Linked DNA regions of Diceros bicornis minor. The protein of the gene in region 1 purifies or fractionates together with the protein of each later gene. This does not show direct contact. Links are inferred from orthologs where the notes say so. Each region holds a gene or a part of one and is shown on either strand. Other genes may lie near its edges. The genes, in order: KIF5B and KLC1.

Region 1 (10,383 bases):
TTGGACTTATTTGAGTAAGAAAAAAGGGAGTTGTAGGTTCTTGAGCAATGAAATGAAGTAATAAAAGCAATGTTTTAGGAAATTTAATCGGAAAATTTCATGCAAACTAGTGGATACGGGAGGAAATTGTTTAGTCTTTTTCACCATTATATCCCCAGCAGCCATCTCAGTGCCAGGCTCATAGCAGGAGCTCAATCCATATTTACTGAATGATCAAATGGGAAAGAGGCTGGGAGGTGTTGTACTAATCTAGTAATCTAGGAATGAAGTAGTAGAGCCTTGAACTAGAAAAGGGTAGTGGAAATGGAAAGGAACAGGCATCTGTTGTACACATTTGAAAAAGTGAAATATTATAATTTCCCATTCTAAATGCCCATTTTTTAAATTTTTTTATTTTTTTGCTGAGGAAGATTCACCCCGAGCTAACATCTGTGCCAATCTTCCTCTATTTTGTATGTGGGTCACCACCACGGCATGGTTGACAACGAATGTTGTAGATCTGCGCCCAGGAACCGAACCGGGCCGCTGAAGTGGAGCACGCTGAACTTAACCACTAGGCCACGGGGCCAATCCTAAATACCCTTTTTTAAAAAGTCACTTCACATTAAATATGAAACAAATTTTCTTACAGTAATAATGTCATAAACAGTGGTTATGTTCTTATACCTCCTCCAACTATTTATAATAACTCTAAAATATAGTCCAATCTGGGGCCAGCCCAGTGGCATGGAGGTTAAGTTAGCACACTCCGCTTTGGTGGCTTGGGGCTCGCAGGTTCAGATCCCAGGTGCAGACATATGCACCACTTATCAAGCCATGCTGTGGCAGGCCTCTCACATACAAAGTAGAGGAAGATGGACAGGGATGTTAGCCCAGGGCCAATCTCCCTCAGCAAAAAGAGGAGGATCAGCAACAGATGTTAGCTCAGGGCTAATCTTTCTCACCAAATAAATAAATAAATAAATAAATAAATAAATAAAATATAGTCCAATCTAAGTACATCTATTATACATAAGTAACGTTTTAGAGGATTATTTCCAGGAGATAAAGTTCCAAGTCATAGGTTATTATTCCAGTTATCTATTGCTATATAACAAATTTTCAAAATTGAGTAGCTTAAAACAATAACCATTTTATTACATCTCATGATTTTATGGATCAGGAATTTGAGCAGGCCTCAGCTGGGTGATTCTTCTGTGTCAATTGAGATTACTCACTGGTAATCAACTGGTGGATGTGCTGGTCTGGAAAGTTTAAGGTGGCTTCCCTCACAAGTCTGGTGCCTGGGTGGGGATGGCTGGAAGGCTGGGATCAGCTGGAACTATTGACTAGAGTGCCTACGTATATATGGCCTCTCTGGCATGGTGTTCTCAGAGGAGTGGGTCTTCCTATATGGCAATTCAGAGCTCCCTGAAAGAGTGTTCCAAGAGACTTAAGTGGAAGCTATAAGGCTTCTTCCCAGTCTCAGATAGCACATAGTGTCACACTTCTGCTACATTATATTGGTTACAAGTGAGTCAAAGGGCCAGCCAAGATTCAAGGAAAGAGACTCCACAATGGTGTGAATCCAGGTAGGCGTGGTTCATTGGAAGACTATCTGTAGTGGCTAACTTCCACAGTGGAGATTTCAGGCTCTAAATCTGCATAGATGCAGGTACCACTCATTTTCATAAAAAAAAGTTACGTTAATGAGTCTCAAACTGTACTCTCAGGGAAACCTGCTGTTTCACTGCCAATGTTGAATAATGGTGGTCCTTTCCATATTTGGAAGAAAAACTGGGATTAACCAGGTTTTTTTAAATCAATCTTTTGTTTCCTTATGAAAATATTTCTTAAACTCTATTGCCTGATACCACTATTCCTCACTAGTGTGACAGGACAATTTTTAGAAATATATTGTTTTTCACATAGCATTTTTCACCTTCCCGGTCCTGTGCTGAGTCAGGCTCTTTGTGCTGCCTTCCCCAGAAGTGTGTATGTCAGATCCGAAAGCAGAAGCCTCTTGCAGATACTTCCCTTTCTGGATTTTGTTTTCATAAAGGCTGAGCTTCCAGAATCTGTTGTGCAGGAGGAAGGAAGGGGCAAATGTTGAAAGGCAACAGAACTGTCTTGAGCAGCAGAGGTTCCCGGAGCTTCACTCCTTGGCCCTTCCATTCACCTCCTTTCCCTCCCCACACCCATGAAATCTCCTGAGCCACCTCTTTGGAGCCCCTGTTCCATGTAATAGAATTTGAAAATCACTGCTCTAGAACAATCATTCCTCAGATTTTCTGAGTTGGGGAACAAACAGGAATGGTGGAGGGGAAGTTGAGGAACTTCAGATGCAGACCATGTTTCTCTTCCACGTGTACAGGAGGTGAAGGAAATAGTGAAGTAACAGGTGATTGCAACTTTTTTAGCCTGGGAGTATGGAAGAATGCTGATACTGGTCATCAAAACTAGAAAGTTGAGTAGTTGAATTAAGTGTTGGCAGGCAGTAGAGGATAATTAATTTCATCTCTGGAATGCTAAATTTGAGGTTAAGGTTGAGCATCCTAAACAAAGTGGCCTACAAGCAGCTGGAGAGATGGGAATATCACACAGGTGACATGATCAGGGTTGTAGATAAGAGATTCCAGCAATTGTTGAAGCTTCTCTCTCTTTTCACAGAGAGAAAAGAGCAGAGGGCTGAGGACAGAGCCTTCATGAGATTCTGCTTGCAAAGGTTGAAAACTGGTGGCCCACCTGCCACAACAACCTCCTTCTTGGAGTGACTACTGCTTTCTTACTCACTGAGGACTTGGTTCTCTAAAATCATAGACTATTAGAAACTGCTGTTTGAAATTATATCGGTAAGAATAAAGCATTCCACTCTTGCCTAGAGGATCTAAGACAGAGAATCAGTCTTGATTGATTTCCAAGCCAGGTGTAGAGCTTTGGAAAAGGGGTTTCTGAAGACAACATTCCATATCTATCTTAACTTGGTAGTTTCCAAGGAAACAGGACCTTGGGTCCGCTTGTAGTCCAGACCTGGGACCACAGCTCTGCTTTGTTCAGAGCCCATCGAACACACAGCTTCATTTAAATTTTACCTAAATTCCACACTTCCCCCAACGCCCTGTAACAACTCCATCTTTTCCTTTTTTTGGCAAGAGGCCCCATGGTTCCTCTGGTGTGAGCTCTCCCTCATCGCAGTGGATCAATAAACCTGAATTCGTTGGACTATGGATTCATTTCTGGATGATTCGGTGAGGACAGAGGGCATTGGAGGTTTTCATAGTCCAATCCTTCATTTTACAAACAAAAATTGGGGACCAGAGGAAGGGTTCCTAATTGTTTTTGTAGCTCTCCTTCCACAGCACCTCAGAGCCACTTCTACCTGAGGAGTTTTTATGGTATCCGTGTTCTGAAAATTGGAGGCGAAATCAACTGTGGAGTGGTTTTCCTTAGACATGTAATCCACAAATTTATCCAGGCCTTTTAAGACCATCTTGACGCTCCAGGTCAGTCATTTCTAGTGTTGAGACTGACGAGTTCCATACGTTTATTTATTCCCAGGGAAGCGGAACCTCCGAGTCACTGAGGGCCTTCTCCCACCTCATCCTACTCTTTGACATTTCTTCAGCAACCGCCTTCATTCCTTAGGAGAAATTCCTTTTTTCTTTCTTATTCCTATCTCCCCAACCCTCTCTCTCAGGAAAGAGCAACCACTTAAACCAGAGTGCCATGTCCCATCCCTCATTCAAATCTTCCTTTTTCTGGCAAAGCGCTCTGAGAGGGTGGGCTAGAAATCAATTTCATCTCCAGACCAGCCAGAAGCAAACATTTCCTTATAGAAATATAGTATTTTATGTGAACAAACTACAAAATAAACTAGTTATAAAGACTCCCTGTCCCCTAAAAAATAGGAAGCTAAATGCGTCTGCTTCAGTTCTGGGGAATTCGGCGGCCAGATGGTGAGGGAAGCGGCAGCCGGGTGACCGAAATTACTGCGGTGAGGGACCGTCCAGTAACACTCGAATCTGCGACCCCCGGGCGGAGACTGGCGGCGGCGCGGCCCGGCTCGGCCGCGGATTGGTCGCCGGGCGCAGGGGCCCTCCGCGCATGCGCCATGCTCCTCCCGCGCCGCCCATCCCACCGCCCCGTCGCCCCTCCGCAGCCTTAGGAGTGATCGGGAGGCAGCCGGCAAGCCGGCGAGTGGTCTGCCGGGAGGGCAGACGGTGGGCCCGGCGTGCTCTCTCCGAGGAAGAAGGAGGGGGCCACTTCCCCGGTCTGCAGGATCCCTCTAATCCCCGCCGCGTGCCCAGGCCGGCGAGGAAGAGGCCGAGGAGCCGCGGACGCTCCACCCGGCGCCGCCATGGCTGCCATGATGGATCGGAAGTGAGCCTCAGGGCGACGGTTGCCGGCCGGCGCTTCGAGTCCCGGTTCCCCGGCCGCTCCCGCCGGGGGAAGCGCGACGCGGCGGGCTGCTCCTGTCTCGGCCTTCGCGACCCCAGACCTTCAGCTCGGGCCTGCTTCCTCCAAGACTGAGCGGCAGGGAGTGGCTCCCGGCCTCCGGCCGCGGCAGCAAGGAAGATGGCGGACCCGGCCGAGTGCAACATCAAAGTGATGTGTCGCTTCAGACCTCTCAACGAGTCCGAGGTGAACCGCGGCGATAAGTACGTCGCCAAGTTTCAGGGAGAAGACACGGTCATGATGGCGGTGAGTGACCCGCACCCCCACGCGCCGTCCCGCGCCCTCGGGCCTGACGGGGCCTGGAGCTTGGGGAAGGGGCGGGTGCAGAATGAGAGAACGGTGGTGTCCCAGAGCCCCGGGAGTCTGCAGGCTCCGATCCCCCAGGGGAGCGCGACTGCAGCCCCCGGCTCATCCTGGTCGCCCCCACCCCTGCTTCCGCGCCGGCAGACGGGAGGCGCCCGGTTCCGCCCGGGACACTCCCCTACCTGGGGCGCTGGAGGAACTGTCCGGGGAGCGAGTTCAGTGCATGCGATTGCCAGGGTGTCTGTGCGTGTGCGTTTGTTGGGCTGAGGCCGGTGGTGTGTTGGACCACCCTCAAATTTGCCGTTCGTAAAGTAGGGGAGATTAAAGTTCAGCTAGGAACGTTGAGCTCTAAATCAGCCCTGCTCTACCTTAGATAGTAAAGATATTCAGTTTATAGAAACATAACTGCATGTTGAGCTATATTTTGTTTCTCCCGCGGGAGAAGGAAAAACGATCAAACAACTACAAATATACCTGCTTCTCAAATGTTTAACCACCGCCTTTTGAGTGATGAATGAATTTTCATGTTGACAAAAATGACTAATCGAGGACTGTAAAAAGAATCTTGAGTTTTCTTTTAAAATCTGAGTGATCAACTTTGTTTAATCTTCTTGCAAATCTAGCCAATTCAGTTCGGGTCAAGTAAGTGCCCAGGTTTTATGGGGTAACAGTCTAGGGAAGAGTGTTAGCTTTTTTGTGTGTATATCAGACAAAGTATTATAAAAGCAAGCTTTTAAAAAAAGATAAAATTTGACCAGTAAACTAGATTTCTTGTTAGTATTAGATTCCTATTTCTACAGTTAAGATCCATCTTGAAGAAAATTAATTTTGATACTCCCAAGGATGGTGAGAGATATTGTCCATTTGTAGTATAAAATATAACCAGAGTTGGCTGAATCATTGTAAGGGAGACTAGAATGTAAGGTTGATTTTTTTTTTTTGAAGTCTGATCTCTGGTATTGAAAGGTCTCTGAAAATAACATTCCCAGTTGAAGGAGATTAAAATGAATATTAAGAAACTGCATACAGAACAGTGAACTGTGACTAAAAATTAAATTCATCTTTCTCGGTAATGCCATGTGGCAGAACTTTTTTCTATATTGGTATATTATTTTATATATTATATTTTCTATATATGGTATATTCTACATACCATGCTATCATGGTAAAAAGTTTTAACGTTAGTTTTTTCTCTTATGGCATTCTGTGTTTAGCATATTGTTTGTGGAGAGTTTAATTTGGAAATAGGACAGTGTCACAGGAGATGGGACATTGATGATTAAAAGCATTGACATATAAGACTGGCTAAAGTTCTTTAGAGCTTTTATGGGAAAGTTTCCAAAGCTCAGCTTTAAAAAATGAATGTCATAGCTCCAAAGTTGCTCCGTAGGCTTTTGGCAAATGAGCCATTAGGTTACTAACAACTGCCAGCCAGCTACTACTGTGCAGACTGTCAGGCTGGTTCTTTGTTAACAAGACCGCAAAAACTCTTGCCATAATGTCATCAGAGTGAGGCCAATAAGTTAAGCACAGAAGTATTACTTTCTTTAGGATGACGTGTTTTACATAGAATCGGAGGAAGCTTGCAAGGCCTGGGTTGTTAGTGGGCAAACTTGAGGCTACCAGTTTCTCACGAAGAGTTTTTGTGATTACTCAACCTCAACAGTGGTTGACACATCAAAGCTATTTTCCTTTTAGACTTGTGTTAAGAATGTCTTATGTTTCTAGATTCGTATGTGTGTGTTTACACAAATCTATAGGTATCACTAAGATTCATTTGTTGGAATGCTAGAATTTAGAATTGACAAAATGTATTAAGATTAGGTTAGAAGACAGCCTTCTGAAGCAGCCCAAATATGACATAAAATATGAAGAAAGAGCTAAAGGAAAATAAATAATTACCACAGGAAGCACACATTAGTTCTAGGTTGTTTTCTTTGGATAAAGTTATCATAAGTTCCTTATATAAATTTCTTTAGTAGTATAAATAAATTTAAATGATAATATTAGAAATAATGAATAGGTGATTGCGTTGTGAATCAGTAATGCAGTTAGTTGGCCTTTAGGTAAACTAGTAAGCATTTTAGTTTGGTTTTTTTAAAAAGTATAAGCAAAAATACAACTGAGTGACATAGCCTTAAAAATTGTAAGGCAACATGTTTAGTTTATTATTTGCAGGAACTAATCTTTTGCATATAGTAAGTTATTAATTACTCTGAGGTCTCATATTGTTCAGTTTTTTAAATGAATTATTTTATTATTATTTTTTGGGGGGCTGAGGAAGATTGGCCCTGAGCTAACATCTGTGCCAATCCTCCTCCAGTTTGTATGTGGGATGCCGCCATAGCATGGCTTGATGAGCGCTGTCGAAGTCCTTGCCCGGGATCCGAACCCGCAAGCCCTGGGCCACTGAAATGGAGTGCGGGAACTCAACCACTGTGCCACCGGGCCAGCCCCAGAATCATTTTATTTTTTGAAAGATTGTTTGGGAATTTATAAGGGCAGCTGGGAGGAATGAAATTAGAAAAGCTCTAGGTAAAATCATCTCTTGGTTTGTTTTGTTCATTTTACTGGATCCTGATCTGATTCAAAATAAATAGTTAAGAAGGAATTGCTTCTGTGCAGCATTTAAAACTAAATTATTTTAAACATGATTTAAAAACATTTTGTTCACAGTCTTCTAGTTAAATCAAAATTTAAAGAATAAGTATTTTAGTTTATAATGTTACAGAATTATAAGTATAATCAGTGCTCATGTAGAAAATAACTTTTAAGGATTCTGATTTTCATCTAAGTTCAGTTTCCAATACTTTGTCCAAACTTTTTTCTTGTTACACATGTAATGTGATTTTAGTATAATGCAACCTCATGGCAGGCAAATCTTATAATCTTATAGTGTTTCTCTGTGTTTTGTGTTTATACAGATTTTTTTTGTAATTAAGTGCTTGGTGAACTGCTATAAATAATCACATATTGAATGAAATAAATGAATTATTTTATTAAAGCCTTTAGGTGATACAGGTAGAATCTGTTTGCTTTAAATAAGAGAACTTGTTATCCACAAAAAAGAGAGGGCAAGGGAAACACCTTATGTAGTTCAAATGAGCCTGCTGAAAACGTTGGGGAAAATGTCGGTAGAAAAAATTACTCCTGTATCTATTTATGCATCATAATAGTGGAACATGCATGTTTACATCATTAAGTATGTTTACTAATCATCATTCCTTATATGGTATGCTGTAGAGGCTGCCAGAACAAAAATTAGGCTGTTGTAGTTCATTGAAATTAGAGGAGAATAAACTTAATTCTCACCTAGTTCCTTGCCTGTAGCACACGATTTCCCTTTTCAAGTGAATGATGATTTGGTGTTTGATCCTGATTACCATAAGAGTGAAATTAAAAGAGAAGGAGCCATCATCACAGACCTTTACAGTTGTGGAATGTTAGCCCACAATCAGTGTCAAACTAAGGAAAATCTAGTGTGATATAATCCCATGTGATCTCAAGATCACTACTCAGAATTCCAGAGAAAGGCATATCCCTGCCAGAAGGGTGTCCTTCATAACCAAATTTGGTGTTCAGCCTGGTCTGTGCAGACTCAAACAGGAACCACTTAGCTTAAGAAATCTAAGATATGGTTACAGTTCAAATAAATTTATTCTTATTTGGTTTTGTCCCCTGGAAGTCTAAGTCAGATGTGAATGCATCTTGTGACTTCGAGTATCTTTGAATATTCATAGAAATAAGGGCTGCATAATGTACATTTCAAAGGTTTTTAAAGAACCAGGTTTTTAAAATACAGGTGTCCAGATACTGAGTTTTCCTTTGTTTATTTGATGGATTATTAGTTAAGAGATGTGCCTTAATTATAGACCATTAGGTCTATAATTAAGACCTATTGGTTAGACCAAATGGTTTTTATGTTTTACAAGTCTTGTTTTTCATCCCAGGAAGGAAGGGTTAGTTAGTAACTTTATAGCTAGATCTCTAATCAAAACGTTTGCCTTACTTAATAAGATTATAATATAGTTTCAGAATTAAAATAAGACAATTTTGTCAACTTCATGCTAAGCACTTAAGTCAATTTTTTATTTAACAGTGATATAACACCTTTACAAAATCACTCAGTCTCCACTTGATTATTCTTATTTTTGCATGTTCATATTCTTATTTTAATAAGATTGTAGTAGTAGTTTACATATTTGCTATGAGGTGATGCTGAAGTAAACAGCTGCATAAAGTACTTTTGAGGCAGGCTTTACAGTTGCCTGTTATTTTTGGCATATATCTTCCTTCCTTCCTTCCTTCCTTCCTTCCTCCCTCCCTCCCTCTTTCTTTTCTGTGAGGAAGATCAGCCCTGAGCTAACATCGGTGCCCATCTTTCTCCACTTGATGTGGGACGCCACCACAGCATGGCCTGACAAGCGGTGCGTCGGTGCGCACCCAGGATCCGAACCCAGGCCACCCGCAGCGGAGTGCGCGTACACTTAACCATACGCCACGGGGCTGGCCCCTGGCATATCTCTTTCTAAATGGTTTATGAGCACTGTTTTTTATTGATGTGAAAATGGAGATATGACTTAAAGCTCAGTAGTGTGTGTTCTTTCTATTTGTTGTTTATTTTAATAAAATTTTATTATTTGATTTATTTTGGAGGGATACAGTTGTATTCATACTTTTACTTATTATCTATTGATTAACTTGTTTCTTGCAAGCAAAATTAGAATTAATCCTTTAATTTTGGCTCTTATATTATTTTTCTACACGCCTATTATTAAATGTATATTTTGGCTAATTGCAGTCTCTTCTTGAATGTTTACCAGGTTGTGAGGTTTTTTTTTATTTTTATTTATTTTTTATTTTTTGTGTGAGGAAGATCAGCCTTGAGCTAACATCCATGCTAATCCTCCTCTTTTTGCTGAGGAAGACCATCTCTGAGCTAACATCTATTGCCAATCCTCCTCCTTTTTTTTTTTCCCCAAAGCCCCAGTAGATAGTTGTATGTCATAGTTGCACATCCTTCTAGTTGCTGTATGTGGGACGTGACCTTAGCATGGACGGAGAAGGGGTGCGTCGGCGCCGCCTGGGATCCGAACCCCGGGCCACCAGTAGCAGAGCACACGCACTTAACCCCTAAGCCATGGGGCCGGCCCGGTTGTGAGTTCTTTAATGCTAGATGCTGTCTCCGTCAATTAGTTAACATCACTTGATAACTTTTATTAGATCCTAGTATACAGGATCTTGGCTTAGTATTCAAGACTTACCCGGCCTTATCCTCTATTATTCTTTGAACCCTACAGTGTGTACTAATTAAATATAATTTCTGAAATTGTGTTACTCATTTACAATAGCTTTGTAGGTGCTAAATATATGTTTGCTGGATAAATGAAGAGGGAAAATTACTTTCTTTTTCCATAGAAAAAATATTAGCATGGTTTATCTCTGGGTGGTGATTGTTCTTTTGATTGTATTTGTGTTTGTTTTCAGAATTGTTTATCACAAATACATCTTGTACTATCAGTAAAACAATAGATTGTCTTCCTTTAGCCACACCTGTAGAATTGAATGTTAATGTGTCAATAGCATCTTAGCAAAGGGACACTTTTATATATGTCATACATAGCCAAAGAATAATTAGACACTGAA
Region 2 (10,383 bases), on another chromosome or scaffold:
CCCCAGAGCCAACCCACTCCCTCCTCCCACTTCCTTCCTACTCAAAGTGCTGCTGTTTTCCCCTTTGTCCGAAGGCGAAGGCGCAGTCACTGGGGCTTAATGCCAGCAGCTGCAGCTCTTTAAAGGAAAAACACCCTGAAAATCTGATAAATGCCATTTTCAAAACTGAAGCCAGAGACCAGAGAGGGTGTGGCTTGTGGTGGAGAGCAAGGCAGAGGAGCCCGGATTAGCCCTGGCCCAGACACCAGGCTGCCCCTCCCCAGATGAGGCGCACCAGCCCCTCATCCCCTGCCTCATGCAGGCTAGGCATTGGCCAGAATGAGGGTGAGAGGTGGGGGCCAGGCTGGGGGAGGGGGTGGGAGGAGGCCGCCCTGGAAGAGAGGGGGACAGGGGAACGCAGCTGGCTGGCGGGGAGCTGGGGGAGTCCTGGCTGCACTGCCTCTGCTTACCCTCCCAGCTCCTGTCCCTCCATGTGTGTGCAGCCCCTCTCCTGACAAGGCCACTCAGACAGGTCACCACTCCCATCCCAAGGACACACACCCAAGTACAGCTTCCCAGCCCCACCAGGCTGCCAAAATGAGACTGTGTGGTTGGTTCCACGTTGTGCATCTCTTCCTGCAGTTCCCCCACTTGGACCTTCATCTGCTGGGTCCTTCCCACCTACCATGTGAATGTTCCTCTTCCATGGAGTCCCCTGATCCCTGAGGGACATACAGCTTCCCCGCTCAGCGCCTGAACCAGGCCTCCTGTCTCTGCTCCCGCGGGTTGTCGGCTCCCCCACACAGGGGCGCCTTGTTCTCCCATTGCGCAGCCTCGCACCTGACACTAGTGGTACTCCATAAATATTGGGAACGGAATGATTGGGAGACTGTATGCTCCTGGTTTATCTCTGACGTCCAGGTGCCTGGCAAACCGCAGGAGGTCAGTGTTGCATCACTGGACGCGTGTGGATGTTTTCACTCTTCCTGGACCAGGGACCTCAGCCCCAGCTTCATCTGCGCACTGTAGGCTGCCTCCAAATCTGTACTCCAGCCCCAGCCTCTGTTTAGATCTCCAGGCTGCCTGTTGATCTGTCAGGTTTCGGAGCAGGAGAGTGAAAGAGTCAGAGCTGGGAAGGAGACAGAAACAGATGAGGGCAGAGGACACAGCCTCTCCCTTTGGGGAAAGTAGGAGGATGGAGAGACAGAGACAGGCAGAGAGAAGGAGGAGGAGCTGGCTCACACCACGCAGGATGCCTTTTCCAAAATGGAAGAGCGCTTACAAGGGAGCAAGGAGAGAGCCTGCTCCCTGCTCTCACGTCTGCTGGAGGAACCCCTAGTCCTGCTGCATGGGGGTGGGGTGCGGGCTGGGCCCTGGCCAAAGGTCCCTGGCTGCCCCCTGGGGCACAGTCCTACCCCACCAGGACCCTAGCTAACTCAGCAGGCTGTTGGCCACAGGGATGCTCAGAGGCCACTAGGACTTGTGCAAACAGGTGTTTGCTTCCCTGGGCCCTGGTCCTCTGGGTTTGTAGGGAAGAACAGATAATGGGTTTGCTGCCTGTGAGTAGCTCTGCTGAGGCTCCCCCACCACAAAGGCATTGACTCCTGGCTCTGCTAGTGCCTGCACTGGGAGCAGGGCTCTGTTTTGATTCCTAAAGCTGAGTTACTCCCTCTCTGGGAAGCAGCAAGCAAACCACGGAACTTGCAGGGCTTCAGCTGCAGCATCTGTTAAATGGGGATAACAGCACCTCTCTCGGAGTTTCTGTGAGGAGCAGAGGATTGAAAGGGACTGAGGACGCTCAGGGCAGGGCAGCTCAGTGAGGGCAGGACTTGTTAGTCTTAGTTTGAGACGCTGGGTGAGGAAGGCGCCAGCCCCGCCACTCTCAGAGGGATAGGTGCATCGCAGCATTTTCAGCAGGGAAGTGACGTGGTCAGATTCAGGATGTGGTGGATGAATTGGCCTTTTCTTTCTTTTCCCCAATACTGCAGACTCATTCCTGCCTGAGGACTTGTGCCTGGCGTGTTCTCCCCCAGGCTTTGCACCGTTGGCTCCTGCCTACTATTTAAGTCTCAGCGCACCTGCCTGCCTCAGAGTTCACCCCGACCACCTCGCCTCTGCCTGTTGCATCATCTTACTTTAATTCTCTGCATGGCACTGCATGAGCAGGGATCTTACTATCCTGTTTACCAACATATCTTGGCTCGTATCGTGCGGACCACCGCAGCTCAACAAATATTTGTTGAGAGAATAAAAGAACGAGACAATAAAGCCTAAACAGAGTGGCAGCAGTGGGGATGGAGAAGGGATGGAGTAAAGCAACATTAAGGAGGTAGATTCTTGGCCACCCATCAGAAGAGGGCATAAGCATCTCAGGTTTCTAGCTTGGGGACAGTTACTGAGTCCAGAGTCACAGACAGAGAAAGGAGCCTCGGCTCCTCTCTTCTCCAGAGCACTTTGGTCACAGCTGCCTCGCCCAGCTCCAAAGTGGTTGAGGAGCAGGTGACATCCAAGCTGCAGTGTGGCCAAATCACTACCAGAGTGTGGAGGGGTTGTTTGACTCTGATTCACTGCCTCTCCCTCTGCCCAGTAACTGCTGTGTCACTGTAGGAACTCCCCCCTTTTTACCTCTTCTTTGCATTTATAAACGAAAGCAAAGTAACTGGACCTCCCTGTGAAAATCTAGGAGAACTTACTTCTCCGTGACTGTGTAATTGCGGGGTTAAAACAGGGCGGCAGGGCTGGGTGATAACATCTGAAGAGCAGTTGAAGAGCGAATGGGGGTGGGAGATTGGCACAGGAACCCCTCCTGATTAACGGGGCCCTGCACTTGGGACATCTGCAGGCACCTGGGGCGCGGTTCTCCCAAGCTGGTGGCAGGCAAAGACAACTGAGCCTTGCGCACTGATTCAGCATGCTTCCTCCTGGCTGGCTGCTGAGTCAGGCCTGCAGAGCTCGCGATGCAGCAGGATGAGGCCAGGGGCTCTCTCTGACCTGGAAGTACTGCCCTTCAGGCGGGGGCTGGAGGTTGTGGCACTGCAGCCCGGTGTGTGCGCGGGCGATGGCGCCGGTGGGGTGCGACAGCAGGGAGTGGCATCTCTGCTCTTGCAGGCACTAGTGGTTAAGCATCCCGGTCTCTCTTACCAGACTGAGGTGCAGTTCGTGGGAGGCCTTTGTGGCTGACGGGAGGGCCCCGAAATTCCCCTCTATTTCTGAGGCTGCAATGGTCCTGGGGAGAGGGAGTAACGAGATGGGAAGGCGCAGGGGTCTGGGGTCCCGGGTCTTGACCAAAGGCTGTAGGTTTTCCTGGAGGAGGGAGAAAGGCCTCCTGGCTTAGCCTAGCCTCTCAGCATTCTGTCCTCTGGAGGCGCTGGTGAGAGCCCTCCTAACGTGTTCTGGAAAGAAGCAGACGAGCACATGACACACGTGCATACGGGGTTGCCACACAGCGTTGTTCCTGGTATAGGAGGGAATGGACGGGACGCAGGGCTGACCGACCGGCCATGCTGGGCCGGAGCCGTCCTCAGGCCACACTCCCAACCGCGCGCCGGGAGGGACGACAGCCTGGCGCTAGGTGGTCGGGGGCAGCCGCGCCCGCGCGGGGCCACCCACGGCGGGCACACGCCCCGCCCCTCTCGTGGACAGCCGGCACACGCCCCGCCCCTCGCGTGGACAGCCGGCCCCGACCGCACCCGGTCCTCGGCTAGCCAAGCGCCGCGGGAGCCACCCCGGGCCCGCCCCCGGCATGACGTCACGGCGACGCGCGGCATTGTGGGGCGGGAGCGCCCAGCCGGGGGAGGGACGCGGAGACGCCATTTTCGGCGGCGGGAGCGGCAGAGCCGGAGCCGGCTGGGTGCGGGGCGGCGGCTGCGAGAAGGAGCCGCGGGGACAGCGCGGGCGGGCGGCCGAGGATGCTGCGGGGCGGCCGCGCCGGCATCCCTCGCTCGTGACCGCGGCGCCGCGTCTGAGGCGTCCAGGCGGCGGGCCCGCGCAGTCCCGCTCCGCGCACGCGCCGCGGCCTCCCGGTGCTGACAGCGCGAGCGCGCGGCCGGCGGAGCAGCACGGTGAGTGCGGGCGGGCCTCACCCGCGTCCCCTCCTCGGTCCCCGTCCTCACCCCTGTCGCCCTCAGGCCCTCTCCCGACCCCGCCCCGGGCCCAGTCCTCGGTCCTCAGCCGTGGTTATTCCTCTTGCCTTCCCGTTCCCGGTCCCCTCCCCGGGCCGCAGACCGCGGTCCTCATCCACGTCCCCTTCCTGTCCGCTTCCCGGCCCCCTCCCGGGGCCGCGGACCTCGGTCCTCATCCATGATCTTTTCCCGTCCCTGGCCGCCGCCCCATTCACGTCCGCTCCAGATTCGGGTCCCGTGCGCGTCTCCATCCCGGCTCGGGTCCCCGCCCCAGCCCCGCCCCAGCCCCGCATCCACGGCTTGGCCCTGCTGCGGGCGGGGGCGGCCGCGCCCGGGAACAGCTGTGGTCCCGGGAGCCGCGCGACGGGGGATGTGGCCGCCCCCGGGACGCGGCGGGCAGGAGGGGGCGGCCGGCCGCGTTTGCTTTGTCCGAATCCTCCCTCTTCCTTCCGGCCGCCGCCCTCTCCCGTGGCACCGCCCTGGGCGGGCGCGCCTGTCAGGCTCGCGGGCGACCGGCGGCCGGGCGGGTCGGAAGCGTGTGGGTTCCCCCGAGAGGCCGGCTCGACCTCGCCTCCTCGGCGATCCCTTTCTTTTAGTAGCAAGACGGGTAACCTTTCATCCTCAGTGTTCGTCTAAACTTACAGCAGCCCCAGTGCTGGAATATCTAGTTGGTTGTCAAATGTGGTGCATCTCTTTCCTTGAAAATATTAAATAAAGGACTAAAAAAGTAAAATTAGTGCCTGGTGGATTGGATGGTTTTACAATTTAAGGTTTGTAGATCTAGGTAGTTTTGTGTTGGAAATTTTATATTGTTGCTGCTTATTACTGTTTTTTTATTTAAACAGCACATTTAGAGTTTAAAGAGTACTTGCAAAAATGATGTTTTTAAAAAGTGTGAGAACAACAGAAAATTTGAGATACACCGTTTAACTGCTGGGTAAATGGGCAGTTGGTTCTTTGATTCTTTGCATTAGTTAAATTCCAAGGCTTTTTTTTGTACAGCATAACTGAGCCATTGATCAGAGTCATTAGCTCAGAATACATTGTAATAGTTCAGTGAAAAACCCATTAGGAAATTGGAACAACCTCCTTAAATCTCATAATCTTATTACAGTTCCAGATTTATGTTTTTCAGGCACTGGCCACAGGCCTTAGGGTGGGAAATTTGATTCATTGTTGTTTCCTAAGTATCTGTAAGAATGCAGTGATACTAAATATTACAAATTTCAGATTGTGTGGAATTATATGTGGGAGGGTAGGCACTCTTAAGAGCCGGTTTCTCCAAGTCATCAAAGAATGCAACATCATGTTGCAGTGGAGCCTGGCAGCCCTGTGCTGTTACGGAGGGGTGTGGAGGACCCAGGGTGTTAACCTCACTGCGGCCTGGCTCATTCACCTTGCTTGGCAATGTCTTCTAAAAACAGTGTAGACAGTATGTAGTAAAGGTAGAAAGACATGCACGGGAATGAGGACAGTGATAGTCTCCAGCAAGGAGGAGGGAGGAAATGCCACTGGGGAGGGGCATATAATATCTTAAATATTTCATAGTAATAAAAACTTAACTACAGTTACTTAAAGTTTACATTCTTTTTTAAAATTATACATTCTTAAGAATGTTTCATAATGTTGAAAGATAGATAAGTCAGTGTGTAGCTTTCCATATGGGCTATAAACTATCTTAAAATATAATTGTGTCAAACAAAACCCAAGAAATAGAAAAGTCAAAAGTTGAAAAAATGTAGAATTTTTATAACCTCCAAACATAGGTGGAATATGATGAGAAACCAGAACTTTATGTTACAAAGAAGTGATCAGTAATATTCTGAACAAGATACAGGAAAGTTTTAGGTGTCAGATTTCAGGGCATAGACTAAAAATGATTAGCATGTTAAGATTGTAAAAGCACAGTCTTAAACATCTTTTGAGAACCAAACGAATGGCAGGTGCTGTGTTAAGTAGTTGGGGATATACAGATAAGACTTCTAAGAGCTCACAGTCTGGCGAGGGAGATGGGAGAAGTTGAGAAGTCGACAGGTATTACAGATTAGGTTAAATACTGTGCTGAGTGCCCTGAGGAGGGGATTCCAGATATGAGACTGGAAGGAAAGTACAAATTGGCCAAATGACGGTGGGATTGGTGGTTCTGGAGGACATAAGCCCTGAGGTAGTGCTGCAGTAAAGGGGAGTGTTGGGAAGGGGTGTGAGTGGAAAGGTGTTGTACAGCCTGCATAAGGGGGTTGCTTTCACCCTGAGGGTAGGAAGGACGATTGGAGGATTCTAAGGAGAGAGGTGACATTTTAGAAAGAGCATAGGCAGTGTGGCAGGTGCTTTGAACCGAGATAAGACTAGTTAGGAAGCCATTAACCCCAAGTGAGGACTGTAAACTTTTGAGTTAGGGCAGTGACAGTAGGAACAAAGGAACAGATGTGTCAGAGAGGGATTGATGGACTAGAGTGGCCCTGAGTTGGGACTGAGTGGATTGGGGTAAGGGTCGGGCTGCAGGCAGGAAGAGACAGATCAGCAGTGTGCCCAGCCACAGCGAACTGCTAAAACATAAGGCGGGTCATGTCTCTCTGCTGAAGTTTTTGCCATTGTCCTGTAAGCACCCGCATCCCTGTCTCTTTCCCTCTTCATATTCTCACCCTCACTGAGGCACATCCAGGTGCATCCTAAGCCTGCTGTCCTGGGTGTCACTGTCCTCACTTCCCCACACACTCCCTAGTACTTCTTGCTACAATACTGTATTATTGTACTTAATTATTATTTAGTTTATTGTCTGTTTTCTCCACTTAACATCCATAAGCTCCACGAGGATGGGGATTTTTATCTGTTGTAGTCAGTGTCAGTGCTTGGCATGTAATAAGCACTTAATAAATGTTTATTGAAGGACTGCATCTAGAATTACTTCCTCGTCTCCAACTGTGTGACTCACTGGCTGGTGACACCCACCAAGATGGGGAAAATGAGAGGAGGAGGAGAAGCTGGTGAGATGGTTCTGGATAGCTTAAATGTGAAGTGCTTGTGGGGCGGCCGCGTGGACCAGTGGACAGTTGGAGATTCAGGTCTGGAGCTCAAGACAAAGATTTGGGCTGGAGATACAGATTTGAGAGACCTCACCATGTTATCCAAAGCCAGAGGCAGCATCTATAATGACCTCTCCAGGAGAGCATCTGACACTTAGTAGAGACTGAAGTGGCCCTAAGGGTAGGAGGAGTGAGCCCTGGGAAAGGCAAGAGGAGGAGGTCAATAGCAAATTGGCTAAGAAGTCAGGGAGGATTTGGACAGAAAAATATACTGGATTTGGCTTCTATGAGGTTATTAGTGACCCTTTAAATTTTTCCTGAGGGGCGGGCCCCGTGGCTTAGCGGTTAAGTGCGCGAGCTCCGCTGGTGGCGGCCCAGGTTTGGATCCGGGCGCGCACCGATGCACCGCTTCTCCGGACATGCTGAGGCCGTGTCCCACATACAGCAACTAGAAGGCTGTGCAACTATGACATACAACTATCTACTGGGGCTTTGGGGGGAAAAAAAAAAGGAGGAGAATTGGCAATGGATGTTAGCTCAGAGCCCGTCTTCCTCAGCAAAAAGAGGAGGGTTAGCATGGATGTTAGCTCAGGGCTGATCTTCCTCAAAAAATAAATAAACAAATTTTTCCTGAGAATATTGCCTCCTACGGCAGGAGGGCTAGTTCAAAGATGGCCTGTATTCTTTCTCCCAAGGCATCCTTGTGTCATTCTGCCCTGTAACCTCCTGGATAATAGACTCTTAGATCAAAAATGAATTATGATTTTATTTTTGTTTTAACTAATTTTTAGGGGCAGATGAAAGCAATTTGGATCTGTGCTTTTAAATGCAATTGTGTTGCTCAACGATGGGGACATGTTTGAGAAATGTATCATTAGGTGATTTTGTCATTGTGTGAACATCATAGAGTGTACTTACACAAACCTAGATGGTATAGCCTACTACACACCTAGGCTATACGATACTAATCTTATGGGACCGTCGTCGTAGATGCGCTCCGTCATTGACTGACATGTCTTTATGTGTCGCATGACTGTATGCTCGGTATGTTGTCCGTACTTAATAAAGCGGATAAGTGAATATCAATGGAACAAGCATTTTAAGCTGAGTTAAGTGCATATGTAAAGTAGAAGTTATTTCCTTCATTCTAAAATATCCCAGTTACCTCAATTTAAACCTTGGATTGTTCCCTGACTCTGATTGCATAACGTGGCAATTTATGTCCCAGCCTCTCGTAAAGTTCACTATACTACTGCTAACAAAACTGATAATAGTAAAGTTAGCATGATAATAGTAAAGTTAGCACCATGCCAGATAAAATTGGTGCTGTAATCACCTCTCTTCTACTGTTGAGGAAGTTGAGGGCTAGAGAGGGCAAGTTCCTTAAACCAGAGGTACACAGCTGAGAAGTCAGGCTTCTAACTCAAGTCTTTTGCTTGTACATTTCAAGCATTGCCCCACCTTGCTGTCATGAATCACTATAATGCTCACCTCAGTCCTCTAGTTGCCTTCACCTGGGAAACCCTTGCCCCAGTTTTTCCATTTCCAAAGCCCCGGTAATGCAGTGTCGTCATGGTAACTCCATGTGTGGTGTTTTGGTCACCATATTGGCATTGTAGTATTTGTGTTCTTCACAGAGCCTGGCATAGAATAGGTGGTCAGTAAAAGTTGATTCTTTATTCTTATGGTGAATACAGGTGGTGTGTTTTCTCTTAAAGTTCACTTATTCTACCTGTTTGGAAAGGATTTGTATTATTGACCAAACGGGGGAGAAATATGTTAATTTCTATCCTTCTTGAATTGTGGTAAAAAACACAAAATTTACCATCTTAACCATTTTTAAGTGTACAGTTCAGTAGTCTTGAGTGTATTTACATTGTTGTGCAACAGATCTCTAGAACTTCTTCATCTTGCAAAACTAAAACTCTATACCTGTTAAATAACATCTCCGCAAGTCTTTTGCCCATTTGAAAAACTGGGTTTGTCTTTTGAGTGTAGGAGTTCTTTACATATTTGGGTACAAGTCTTTTGCCAGATACATATGTTGAGGAAAAAAACGTTTTCCTAATGTGGGACTTAACTATTTGTTTTCCGGCTATGCCTTTTAATAGTCAGTAGTTTTAAATTTTGATTAAGTCCACATTATCAATTTTTTTCTTTTATGGTTTCTGCTTTCTGTTGTCTTCTCTGTTTTTGTTTTTATTTTTTTATTTTTTTTATAATTTTTATTTATTTATTTATTTTCCCCCAAAGCCCCAGTAGATAGCCGTATGTCATAGCTGCACATCCTTCTAGTTGGTGTATGTGGGACGCGGCCTCAGCATGGCCCGAGAAGCGGTGCGTCGGTGCGTGCCCGGGATCTGAACCCCGGGCCACCAGCAGCGGAACGCGAGCACTCAGCCGCCAAGCCATGGGGCCAGCCCTGTTTTTGTTTTTAAATCGTTAAAAAATGTATGCTCTTTTGGGAAAACTCATGATACAGAAAGATATAAAGGTGTAAGTGAGTTGTCTCTTTTCCCATTTCATCTTTCCAGAGAGAACTGATTTTTTAAAAATGTTTTAATTGCCTTTCTTTAGTTAGGAAAGAAAATTACTCCATGTGTGTGTCATTGATTAGCGGTTAAATACATAAACTTAGTCTTAGGGTATTATGTTAATCTGACATTTTTCATTTTGAAATAAAAATGCTTTTTTTAATACTTTTTTTTGAATGAATACTCTCTGTTTATATTCTTTTGCCTCAGACTCCCATAACACCCTGTTATATATTCTGTTAGTCACACTGTCCGATGAAGCTCTTTTTCCTTTCTGCTTGCTCAACCAAGGACTTGTAATAGAGACATCTGCATCATTTGGGCTTGCTCATCCTTGTTTTAGGAAAAAGAATGTTCTCCTATATTTTCATGTAGTACCCTTCCCTGTAGTTTGTCATGCCTTTTTTTTTTTTTAATTTTATTTATTTATGTATTTATTTTTTTCCCCCAAAGCCCCAGTAGATAGTTGTATGTCATAGCTGCACATCCTTCTAGTTGCTGTATGTGGGACACGGCCTCAGCATGGCTGGAGAAGCGGTGCGTCGGTGCGCGCCCGGGATCCGAACCCCGGGCCGCCAGCAGCGGAGCGCGTGCACCTAACCGCTAAGCCACCGGGCCGGCCCCTGTAGTTTGTCATGCTTAAAATCTGTATCTGAAGACATGGGCCTGTGGTCCCATGGCAAATTAAATGACCTCAGTGTATTGCCTGGCCCTGGCTGAGAGCCC

Evidence for each region.
Region 2: the proteins of KIF5B (region 1) and KLC1 purify together in Homo sapiens (co-immunoprecipitation; 11 studies listed by BioGRID and IntAct, counting the BioPlex papers as one, with this or other methods). This does not show direct contact. The link is inferred for Diceros bicornis minor from reciprocal best matches to the Homo sapiens genes KIF5B and KLC1.

What each region holds. Positions count from the first base shown.
Region 1 is NC_080775.1:30,269,193-30,279,575, reverse strand, and holds the start of KIF5B (kinesin-1 heavy chain), read left to right. Parts: upstream 1-4,143; 5' UTR 4,144-4,554; coding exon 4,555-4,680; intron 4,681-10,383. UniProt on the Homo sapiens protein: Microtubule-dependent motor required for normal distribution of mitochondria and lysosomes. Can induce formation of neurite-like membrane protrusions in non-neuronal cells in a ZFYVE27-dependent manner.
Region 2 is NC_080763.1:48,268,680-48,279,062, forward strand, and holds the start of KLC1 (kinesin light chain 1), read left to right. Parts: upstream 1-3,892; 5' UTR 3,893-4,040; intron 4,041-10,383. UniProt on the Homo sapiens protein: Kinesin is a microtubule-associated force-producing protein that may play a role in organelle transport. The light chain may function in coupling of cargo to the heavy chain or in the modulation of its ATPase activity.